3 linked regions of the Alligator mississippiensis genome follow. The protein of the gene in region 1 purifies or fractionates together with the protein of each later gene. This does not show direct contact. Links are inferred from orthologs where the notes say so. Each region holds a gene or a part of one and is shown on either strand. Other genes may lie near its edges.

Region 1 (3,745 bases):
GTGATTTTTTTCTGCAAGATAGAAACATTAACAGGAACATGGATTACACAGCTGTTTCATTTGTTTCAGTGTCTGAACAGTGGCATTGAAAGAACCAGTCTAATGCATCTCTCCACTACAGCAATCTCAACATTGTGGTTGTACCAGTACTCCAGGGAGACAAAGAGCACCTATGCCATAGAGACTAGAATTGCTGCTGCAATCAGGTGCGTTGGGGCATTTACAAAGCAAAATATACTCCAATGTAGAATAATAGTAGAACTAGTCTACCTTCTGTATCTGTATCATCTGTCATTTTCCCTCTATACTGGGAATAAACCAAAATATAACACCTAATATAGAGAGTTAGGTAAAATCCTAAAATAGGCTAACTGGGAGTTTGGGTGGGGTGAGCAATTCCCATAACCTTTTATGGAAGATCATTAGAAAACTAAGCCTGTCCTAGAACTCAAGTCTGTACAATGGATTCACACCATTTTATTCCTACTGAACAGCAAACTTTTACTAGCCATTACTGTACATTGCTGTTTTTATCATGTTTTCAACCATAACATCAAACAATGCTATCAAACCTGTGCATCATTAGAGCTGGTAATGGCAATTCATATCAGCTTCTCAAAATGATCAAAGCAGTGGAATTGAAGTGTCATGGAAACTTAAGCACTATTTCAGAAAACCTTTGGCTTCAGAGATGCATACACGTAACTTGCTAACATACGGGATATGGCATTAGTATTTAAGGTTCAGAAGTTTCAGATTACTTCCTTAGGAGCATAAAATGCCATGTTGTCTATTTAAGACTAGACTCTGCCACCTATACCCCTTGCAAAAGTAGCAACATCTGAATGTTGAAATAGAAACTTTTCAGGGCAGGTAACAGTCATCTTACATAGTTTTAAAATGCCAACATACTAAGCACTATGTAAATAATAATCTCTACAAAGCACTGTCATGTTGATAATTCTAAAGGTGACAGTTTTTTTGGATGAAGGCATGGAATTTGTTTTGGTATCAAGTATTACTTCACCAGTGCCCTTTTCATTTAATGGTTCATAACCGTGGCACAGAAACACCCCATGACTACAGATGATCAAGGCTGACACATTTCGTTGACATTACCAAGAGAATAGAGATGGTAGCAATGGTGAAATCTGTAGCATAAAAAGAGAACCCAAGTATGGTTACGACCTTATCATGCAATGTTTAAAATGAGCCAAGATACAGTTTACACCGCTGCAACCACAGTTGGACCAAGATAGTGACAAATCATGGTCATGTATTATAAGTGCAGATAGAACCATAACATATAAATGCGCAAACATATCAGTCTCTTCAGACCTAAAGGAAAAATAAAGGGTTTCTTTTTCTTTTTTTGGATACATCAAGCATGCAGAACCCAAATGGGTGTGTGTGATCACAAAGCAGAGCCCGATCAAAAGCATATCCAATTTGGGAAGGGGCTGAAACTGGAAGAGAAGACCGTAGAAGTATCTGCGTATTTCAAGAACCCATTAATGCTGCTCAAATAAAATACTCCACATCTCTGCCAGGGAAATCTCAGCACAGCAACTGTTTTTCACCTAGCTAATCTAATTAGGATAACAGAGATGCTGCTTACAGGCATTTGTGGAAGTGTTAGATCAGTGGTTTTCAACCTGGCCCTCAACGCAGGTGTTGTCTGCACTATGGCAGTCAGATAAAACTGCCCTGAATGCAGAGCTGTGGCAAACGTGCACTCCTGCTGCATTAAGGCTCTCTTATCAGCCTCCATCTAGCTCCTGCCTTCTTGCTTGGGCCCTTCCCAGTCTGGGTCCCCCACCACACACTTCCTGAAACAGGGTACATGGGAGCATTCAACCTGCTGCCTCCGTTTCCAGGATGGCGGCCACAGCAGCAGCACCTGGCTGAGAAGTACTGGGGTAAACCGAAGCAGCAACCAGGGATGCTGCCATATTCAGATGAGTGGTGAAGGTTTATCCCACTTGAGTTGCTGTGTTAGATATTATTTGCACCCTTTCACTGCAGAAGCAAGTGCTCGCTTCCTTTTCACACAGACTCCCATGTCAGGTGGGCTCTGCCATGCTTTGCAACAGCTACAGCCACAGACCTGATGCCAAAGATGGCTAGGTGGCTGGAAGCATTTTCAGAGCTACAGCCATAGCGTGGAGAATACCAGCGCGCTGTTCACAAGAGCACCATCGCCACAGGCATCGCCCGGGGCACGTGAACTCGGTGGAGCAGAGGTCATCTCCCACAGGAAGTCACCCATGCCCAGTGCGTGAGCTCGTGCTCGTTTCTGTTCTGCTTGCGGCTGCAGGCTGCTCTTTGCAAAAACAGGAGCTGAAGAGGTGGGGAAAGAAAGGAGGAAGGCAGCTGGGACAGGCCTGGAGGAGGGTTAAAGCAAGATGGGGGAGATGACATGGGAAGTGGGGAAGAAGGAACAAGTCCTGTGTTCTGGGAGCGCCCTGCTTGGGAGGGGAAGCCCTGCGGCAGAGCTGCTGGACAGAGCCGGAGGGGCAAAAAAGGAATAAAAAAAATCAAACTTGAAGCGACTTCCTGCTCCGGGCCTTGGGGCCTCCCAGCGCCCGCGGGGCCCGAGGCTGGGCCGTGCCCGCAGCGGGGACCGGGCCACGGAGACAAAAGGAGGAATCAACAAGTCCCCCCGGGGCGGGGCGGGGCGGGGCGGGGGCAGCCCTGCGGCGGGCCCGGGCGGCGAAGGGCCGGGCCCCGCTAGGCCGCGGCGGTGAAGCCGGGCGCGCGGTACCTGGACGGGTTCCTGCAGCACCGTCATCCTGCCCCCGCGGCGCCCGGCGCGGCCTCGGCCCCGGCTTCGCCTCAGCCTCGGCGCGTGTCCCGGCGGCGGCTGGGCCCGGCCCGGCCCCTGCTCATTTAAACTCCCAGCGACCGTTACCGGGGCAGGCCGCCGGGAGGAGGGAGGGAGGCCGGGCGCCGAGTCCGCCCGAGCGGCGGCGGGAAGAGCCGAAGGGGAGCGGAAATGCCCGAGCGGGGGCGGAAGCAGCCGAGGCCCGAGCCCGAGGGGGGGGCCCGCACAGGGGGGGCCCCGAGCAGCCGCGGAAATAGCCGAGTGCTGGCCGAGCTCGCGGAGCTGCCCGAGCGCCGCCTCCGCCACCGCCCTCTCCTTGCGCCGGAGTCTCGGCGGCGGCGCCCCCTGGCGGTCGGCCTGAGCCACTGCGGGCCGCGGGCAGCGCCCGCCCTGCTTGGTGCAGCGACTGCGGGCCGAGGCCGGGTCCAGCGCGGAGGGCGGCGGCTGGTCTCTGCTCTTTCGGACCCGAGGCTGGCCTGGGCAGGCTGAAGCACACCCCCGGGAAACGCCGGTTCTCCCTTTTCACTCTTGTTTGACTAGGGAAAGAGCACCGGGCAGTTTGCCTCTTGCGAGGATCCAAGAAGCGCCACCACGGCGGATTCCTGTGCTGAATCTCCAGCTTTATCTTATGACTCCTGTTTGCACACCTTACCTAACATCAGTGCTAACTAACCGCAATTCATGTGGTGCCTTAACCTCTGGTGCAGTTCCCTCCGGAGTTAACGGCTGCGTGGTACAGCATCTACATGTGCGCCTAGGACCGCAGCAGTTTGGGCTGTGCCAGGGGTGCTTGGCCCTGGGCTGGCAGCAGGCTCGGGGGTCAACCCCGGGCATGAGGCTGAGGGGGCACGGTGACCACCCGCAGGCGGTGGGGGTGGGGATGTGGTGGCAGCAGGCGGGGACCACCTACAGGTGGCCGTG
Region 2 (3,745 bases), on another chromosome or scaffold:
GTTATTATTAATTACACATCCATAAAGAGAGGACATTTAGGGGCAGCCCCGCGAGGCCGAGCCGCGCTTTGGGCCAGGCTAGACCCTGGTCGGGGGTGTCTGGGAGAGTCCCCCAGGGGTACAGTCACAGCGTGGGGTGGCCCGAGGAGGATTTCCAGCCGCAATCCCAGCCCGAAACCCGGTTCTTTACCCAATCCAATATACTTAGTTCTCGGCTATGGGGCTGGCAGGGGGCAGGGCCAAGCCGTGCTTTGGGCAGAGCTGTGCTCAGGGTCTTTGGGACAGTGCCTCGGTGGCATGGATGGGAAGTGTGGGGTGGCCCAAGAAGTATTTTGCCCCCTAATCCCATCCTCATCTGGGATGAGGCTCTGTACTTGATACATGATATTATTTTACATATTAATTATGGCTTTTAAGGAGAGGCTAAAGGAACTGGGCTGATTGAGTCTGGGGAAGGGAAGACCGGGGAATTTGATAGCAGCCTTCACCTCCCTGCCGGGGCTGCACAGAGGATGGAGCTGGGCTGGTCTCAGTGGGGCAGATGGCAGGACAAGGAGCAATGGGCTCCAGCTGCAGCGAGGGAGGTTGAGGTTGGATACGAGGAGAGACTCTCCCACTCGGAGGGCGGTGAAGCACTGGAGCGGGTTCCCCAGGGAGGTGGTGGGGTCTCTATCGTCTTTAAGCCCTGGCCGGGGTGATGTAGGTGGGGCTGGTCCTGCTCGGAGCAGGGGCTGGACTAGAGGTGACCGCCTGAGCGCCCTGCCAGCCGGAACTTCCTATAGGCTCAGCTGATGAAAGTCTCTCTCTTGAGGATGTGTCATTCATTAATTTATTGGGTCTAGATTCGTTTAGGAAAAGGAACCGGGACTAAACCTGCAGGGGCAGTGCCCCCGGGACAGGCGCGCACCGCCGCGCCTGTCTCTTTAAAAAGGGGCGGGGCGAGGCGAAGCGCTCCCATGGTGCCTTGCGGCGGGCGGCTTGGATTTTAAATCGTAGCAGCCAATCCGTGCGCGCGGGTTCGTAACGCTCCGGCCCCGGGTTTCAAATCGGTGCCGCCGCTGCCGCCGCCGCGCAGCTCGGGCCGGGGCCGCGGGACGGGGGACGGGGCCGGGGGCAGCGGGGCGGCAGTGGCAGAGGCAGAGGCAGAGGAGGCGCGGAGCAGAGCGGCAGCATGAGCGCGGTGTCCGCCAAGGGGACGCGGCCGCCCGGCGCGGCGGAGCCGGGGAAGGCGGCGGCGGCGGCGGCGGCGGGGCCCGGGGCGGGGGCGGCCGGGGGGCCTGCGGCCGCCGGGGCCAAGGAGATCCCGAAGGTGCTGGCCGACCCGCGGTCGCGGCGCAGCTACGTGCGCGGGCGCTTCCTGGGCAAGGGCGGCTTCGCCAAGTGCTACGAGATCACGGAGCTGGAGAGCAAGGAGGTGTTCGCCGGCAAGATCGTGCCCAAGGCGCTGCTGGCCAAGCCGCACCAGAAGGAGAAGATGTCCATGGAGATCGCCATCCACCGCAGCCTGGCGCACCGCCACGTCGTCGGCTTCCAGGGCTTCTTCGAGGACAGCGACTTCGTCTTCGTCGTGCTCGAGCTCTGCCGCCGCCGGGTCAGCGCGGGCGCGGGCGCGGGCGCGGGGCCCGGCGGGAACCGCCCATGCCGAGCGAGCGTTCCGCGCGGGGGTCTGAACGTTCCGCGCGGGGGTCCGAACGTTCCGCGGGCGAGTCCGAGCGTTCCACGCGGGTGTACGAACGTTCCGCGGGCGAGTCCGAGCGTTCCGCGCGGGTGTACGAACGTTCCGCGGGCCTTAAAGGGGCCGGGGGGAGGCGGGCTGGTAGCTGGTGCTCACGCTCCCCTCCACGCTCCTTCTCCCCCTTGCCCAGTCGCTGCTGGAGCTGCACAAGCGGAGGAAGGCGCTGACGGAGCCCGAGGCGCGGTACTACCTGCGGCAAACCATCCTGGGCTGCCAGTACCTGCACAGCAACCGCGTGATTCACCGCGACCTCAAGTTGGGCAACCTGTTCCTCAATGACGACATGGAGGTGAAAATAGGTACAGGCCTCCCCGCCCTGCGGGGCACGGGTTCTTCCTGGAGCTGTCGGAGCCCTGGGGTCCCTCCCTCCCGTGTCCGTGTGCAGCTGGGGTAAAGGGGTAAATCAGTAGCTTCTGCCACTGTGAAGCGGAACAGCAGCCTCTCACCCCAACCCTGGGCAAGCACGTCCCTCTGTCCAGGAGCAAACTCCACCAGGCACTCGAGATGGGGTCTTGGGAGGGTGTTGCTGCAGGTCCACGCAGGTGGCTCAGCAGGGCACGCCGCGGCCCTCGACATCCACAGGCAACAGCTGAGCCTGAAGTTAAGCCGATGCAAGCAAATTCTCTTCTGTCTGAATCTTTAAGGCGACTTTGGGCTGGCCACCAGGGTAGAGTACGACGGGGAGCGCAAGAAGACCCTGTGTGGTACACCAAACTACATTGCACCCGAAGTGCTGGGCAAGAAGGGGCACAGCTTTGAAGTGGACATCTGGTCCATCGGCTGCATCATGTGAGTTCATAGGATCGTAGGACGTGAGGGTGGGATGGGACCTCGGGAAGTCGCATCTAGTCCAACCCCTGCTCCAAGCAGGACCAGCCCCAGCTGCATCATCCCAGCCAAGGCTTTGTCTAGCTGGTGCTTAAACACTCCCGAGGACGGAGACTGCACCACCTCTCTGGGGAGCCTGTTCCAGCGCTTCACTACAGATTGGGGGTTACCTCTGGGGCATAAGTCCTGCAGCCTCCTGAACTCTCTTGCATGAACCCGTGACAGGCCGCTCTCTCCTCCGTACGCAGGTACACACTGCTAGTGGGGAAGCCGCCATTTGAAACCTCTTGCCTAAAAGAGACGTACATCCGTATCAAGAAGAATGAGTACACCATCCCAAAGGTAGGTGGGGCCTGCTGGAGGGCCCGTGCTCCCTCTCCAGCAGGGATGCCAGGGTGGGGCGCAAGCCAAACTCTCTTGCTTGCTGTGAAATGGTTCCTAGCACCCTGTGCACGCTCCTGGGAGGGGCCCTGGGTCTCTGGCTCCTCCGCTGCTGTCCACCAGGCTAGTCCATCATAGCACTGAGCCTCACAGGAGAGCTAGCTATATCTTGCCATCCTCAGCTCCTCCGGGCTCGTGCCCTGGTCTCTCCATGGCTCTGTTTGGAGCAGGAAAGCCCTGCATGTTGGGGGGTTTGGCCCTTCCACTAGTACAGAAGCACACCGGTCCCTTCCAGCCACAAACTGCCGGTCTCCTCTTTCAGCACATCAACCCGGTAGCTGCTAGCCTCATCCAGAAGATGCTGAGGTCAGACCCTGCCACCCGCCCCACCATTGACGAGTTGCTGAATGACGAGTTCTTCACGTCGGGTTACATCCCCGCCCGCCTGCCCACCACCTGTCTCACTGTCCCGCCGAGGTTTTCCATCACTCCCACTGCCCTCGACGCAAACGGGCGGAAGCCCCTTACTGCACTTAACAAAGGTGGGGCCCTGCATGGCAAAGGAGGGAGTGTTCAGGGCCTAGAAATGCCACGTGCAGGGCAAACGGTGTCTGTCCAGGGCTAAGAGCAAGCTACAGATGACAGCCAGAACCACTGATGAGCTTGCACGGAGGTCTGGGGTTCGTGGCAGTCTGGTGCTGCCCTTCCCTCCACAGGAGCAATAACTGACCCCCTAGCGGAGAGCCCAGCTCCTTGAGCTCTTGTCAGACAGTACCAAGGGGCTCACCCTGCCCCGTGGCA
Region 3 (3,745 bases), on another chromosome or scaffold:
ACTCTACTCAAGTGTTATTTTTTTAATATCCTTGGCTTCAAAAAGCAGGAGTGCTTAGTATTTAAATATATACATAGTATATTATTCAGATTGGAAGCTGGCAATCTCATGTCAGGGATGGAGTTGTTCACTCAGGCCTGAGTAAATACAAAAATTCAGACTACTCACAAGAGGTTTCCAATAAAGGCAGAAAAGTTACAGTGGCAGTTATCTGTCTGATAACAGATCGAATTTCATCCTGAATAGCTTTCTGAGACTTCTCCCTTGGTGCGCTACAACAGAAACAAGAAGTTCTTTTAACAGAGAAGAAAGGAGGCTTTTGTTATACTGGAAAGTTTCTCCAAATATAGCTTTATCTTTAGCATAAGTTGTGAAACAGTTTCTGTTTCAAGAACCGGAAGTCTCAATGGGATAAACAGTGTAACAAAACAGTCTGGATAATAAGGATTTGAAAATTCAGTCAAAGTTTTTTTTAAATTTTAGTTCAATACTGCTCTGTGTGGTGTTACACAGTGTTTGTAGTTTTAAGCACTGCTCTGAATTTCCCTGCAATTTTGAGTTAATATGATAATGTTCCTAGCAAAGCAACTAATACCAAATAGAAGAAGCATGATGTAAGCAGAGGAGCAGTTAAATAAATTAATAATTTTATAATACTGAAAAGGTTCCCACCACAAAAAAAAACAAAAACAAAAACAAAAAAACAAAAAATTCCATTGTTAGTGGCTTGCACTGCAGGTATGAATTACACATGCATCCAAGGTCAAATTGTTTCATTTGGTTTAAAACATACAGAACATTTACTAGTGAAGTATAATTACCCTCAGAGACATGTCTCCCCACCACCCAGATGCTTTAAGAAATTGACATGGATCATCTTGAAACAAAAGTGCAAAGAAAATGCATTCACTCTGGCACTTCAATATATGAACCAAGGAGCTCACACCTGCATTAACTGTCTGTCAGAGGGGCCAGCAGGAAGGGCTTGTAAGAACTAACAGCTTTGCAATGGTGCAGTTCATTACATTTACCTCTCATCTTTTGCAGTTTTGTCACACTCTATGTCAAACTGCCACCGCTCAAGGACCTCGTTGCTTTCAATACTAGAGATGACCACCACCAGGCGCTGTACTGAACACTTGTACAGCCAGTCTGGAAAGAGGAGAAGGAGAAAAACATATCAGAAAAAAAGGAGACCCTCTAAACCAGCAAAAGGCAGCACTTAAGTAGAGGAGCCTTTGTCAGCCCTGCATTAATACTTGGGCAGTTTACAAAGCAAAATAGTGATACTGAGGACCCTCAATTTAAAGTTAACTCAGCAGTTAATCAAAAAGTCAGAGTAAGAAAGGTAAGTGTCAGTGAGGGAGAAGGTCAAACTTAAAGGGCAGGATGAATGGGATTTTTAAACCCAGATTTAGGCTGGTCCTAACTGACGCGAGTCAAAACCTGGAACAAAAAGACCAACTAGGTAAAAACAGACCTTGGTCCTGCTTCAAAACAGGCACAGGACAGCCCTTACCCAGGCAGCTTAATTGGCAAGTCATTGGAGCTGCCCTGGAATTGCAGATGGGGAGATTTGAGCTTTGTGACTCCCAGCAAACCTTACAAAGGTGTTTTCAACGCCTGGTTCAAGTCAGGCTAACCAGCCCCAAATTAAACCCATTATCCGTTTTCAGCCTGTCAAATCCTGGTCTAACCAACGAGAAACCCGACCTCTTGTTTTTAGCCATGGCTCCTTGTGTGACCTGCTCCAAACCCCTGAATGGACACAAATCCCACTCCTGCTATGGGGGGCATTTCTATTTCACCTGCCTTGCTGATGCAATGCGGGCGAGAAACGTCAGCTCCTTCACCCTGGGCACCTTCTCAAAGCTCATCTTCGCAGTGCCCAAGCTTGGGAAACAAACCAGACTCGCAACTGTTTAGTGCACTGAGCTGAGGTTGCAAATGCAAGCCAGGAACAAGGGCCCAGCGGGTGAGATGGCAGCAAAGCTCGGGCCGGCCCCGCCCGGAGTCTACCCCGTTCCCTGCCCCCCCCCAACCTTTGAGCTGGTCCACGACGCTGCCCAGGTAGCGCTGCAGCTCGGGGTCGGAGGTGACGAGCAGCGTGAGGCCGTACTGCTGCGCGCGGGTGAAGGTCTCGGGCGGGTAGATGCCGCGCTGGTACAGGATGCTGTTGATGCCGTAAGCTGCCGCGCATGCGCCGGAGGAGACATGGGGGGGGGAGGACAGGTGAGCAGGTGACCGACCCCTCTCCCACTACTGCGCAGGCGCGGCCTGGCTCTGCCCCTCCCCCCGCGAGATCCAACATGGCGCCGGGGGGGGGCACCGGAGCGTCCCGATGCTTCCCCCACCCCTCCCGCGCGGGCACTGACGCCCGCTCTTCCCTCCCGGCCCCGGGGGCTCCTCACAGAAGAACTCGGCAACGATGTCGGCGCTGCCCCGCAGGGTGATGCCCTGCTCCCGGCTCTGCTGCTTGGCCATGGGCGCACGTCCCCGCCACCCGCTTCAAACTGGGCCCCGCCCCCGAGACGCTGTACTCTCGCATGCGCACACGCCCGGCAAGTCGCCGCCGCTCACGCTTATGCCTTTCTCTCCAGCGCATGCGCAGGGTTTTTTTCGCCTCGCTGCGCATGCGCGACAGGTTCCTCTTCCCCTTGTGGGCGGAGCGAACCGGCTGGGTGCCCTTCCATTGGCTTGCGGGGGTCTCGCTTCAGAGATCGGCACGCAGCGCGCGGGGTTGGCATTTGAGGGAGCGTTCTCTAGTGCCGCCCTGGAGTGGCTAGGGCAAGAGTGCTTGGAAGCGTAGAGTTAGGACTTGTCCCTAGCAATAACGGGGGAAAGTGTGCATGCATATTGTATGAAGTATGTGCGTGTTTCGCAATAACAGTGCTCTGTGTATGCGTTTCTTGGACATTTACCTTGTTCTTGCCTGACTTTTTCCCTTCTCCTGTTTGCTTCTGCCTGATCCTAGCCATGCCATTGTTTCTGACCCTGCTGTGTTTGGACCTTTCGGCTCTGATCTCCCATCTGCCCTGGCCACTTTACTGCCTTAACCCTTGGCCTGAGGCCTTGGACTGCAAGGCATACTCGGTTGTGACCCCAGTCTTCTGCCTATAGTAACTTGTTGAGTGACTGCGTGTGGCTCCATTGATCCTGGCAAACAGGACAGGACACCAACAGAACAGGATTCCTTGTGAGTAGCAAAGCACAAGGCTTTTGAGGAGACACTTCAAATTGGAGTAGAAGAACATAATGTGGCCAGACCATAGAGAAGGTGTATCACTTCTGTTTGATAGACTGCTCTGTGGTCTCCTTTCACAGTATATGATGAAGTGTACTCCGTCTCATAAAAGCTTATGCATCTCTGATTTAATTAGTTTATAAGGTGCATGTCTACCCTGCCTTCCATTTAAGAGACCACCAAAGGGTAGGTAGGATGCCACAAAAAGCTCAACAAGAAAATACGGCTATGGAGGAACAGATTTGTTCAAGCCTTGAATGAGGCAAGCTGTAGTTTCTATCCTACACAATAGCAAATAAAGAGCCATTGAGTAAACTGAAAAAAATATCCTCTAATATAATTTATAAGTATGAAAGGTAAGCTCAATGACTCAAAGTCAATGTACTAAAATTCCTTTGAATGTGTGTCTGCGCAGGGGTTGGGGAGGGAATAAGTATTCTTCAAGGGAGTTTTCTGAAGTGGTTAGAATACACTTACTTTGTGTTTGTTTCTATTTTGTAC

The links.
Region 2: the proteins of CDC27 (region 1) and PLK1 purify together in Homo sapiens (affinity purification with mass spectrometry; 4 studies listed by BioGRID and IntAct, with this or other methods). This does not show direct contact. The link is inferred for Alligator mississippiensis from reciprocal best matches to the Homo sapiens genes CDC27 and PLK1.
Region 3: the proteins of CDC27 (region 1) and MAD2L1 purify together in Homo sapiens (affinity purification with western blotting; 29 studies listed by BioGRID and IntAct, with this or other methods). This does not show direct contact. The link is inferred for Alligator mississippiensis from reciprocal best matches to the Homo sapiens genes CDC27 and MAD2L1.

Annotation. Positions count from the first base shown.
Region 1 is NC_081827.1:158,874,700-158,878,444, reverse strand, and holds the start of CDC27 (cell division cycle protein 27 homolog), read right to left. Parts: upstream 2,946-3,745; 5' UTR 2,792-2,945; coding exon 2,765-2,791; intron 1-2,764. UniProt on the Homo sapiens protein: Component of the anaphase promoting complex/cyclosome (APC/C), a cell cycle-regulated E3 ubiquitin ligase that controls progression through mitosis and the G1 phase of the cell cycle.
Region 2 is NC_081836.1:58,699,405-58,703,149, forward strand, and holds the start of PLK1 (serine/threonine-protein kinase PLK1), read left to right. Parts: upstream 1-1,058; 5' UTR 1,059-1,171; coding exon 1,172-1,591; intron 1,592-1,865; coding exon 1,866-2,034; intron 2,035-2,379; coding exon 2,380-2,524; intron 2,525-2,811; coding exon 2,812-2,905; intron 2,906-3,266; coding exon 3,267-3,486; intron 3,487-3,745. UniProt on the Homo sapiens protein: Serine/threonine-protein kinase that performs several important functions throughout M phase of the cell cycle, including the regulation of centrosome maturation and spindle assembly, the removal of cohesins from chromosome arms, the inactivation of anaphase-promoting complex/cyclosome (APC/C) inhibitors, and the regulation of mitotic exit and cytokinesis.
Region 3 is NC_081825.1:120,208,826-120,212,570, reverse strand, and holds the start of MAD2L1 (mitotic spindle assembly checkpoint protein MAD2A), read right to left. Parts: upstream 2,558-3,745; 5' UTR 2,485-2,557; coding exon 2,412-2,484; intron 2,190-2,411; coding exon 2,043-2,189; intron 1,153-2,042; coding exon 1,032-1,152; intron 273-1,031; coding exon 169-272; intron 1-168. UniProt on the Homo sapiens protein: Component of the spindle-assembly checkpoint that prevents the onset of anaphase until all chromosomes are properly aligned at the metaphase plate.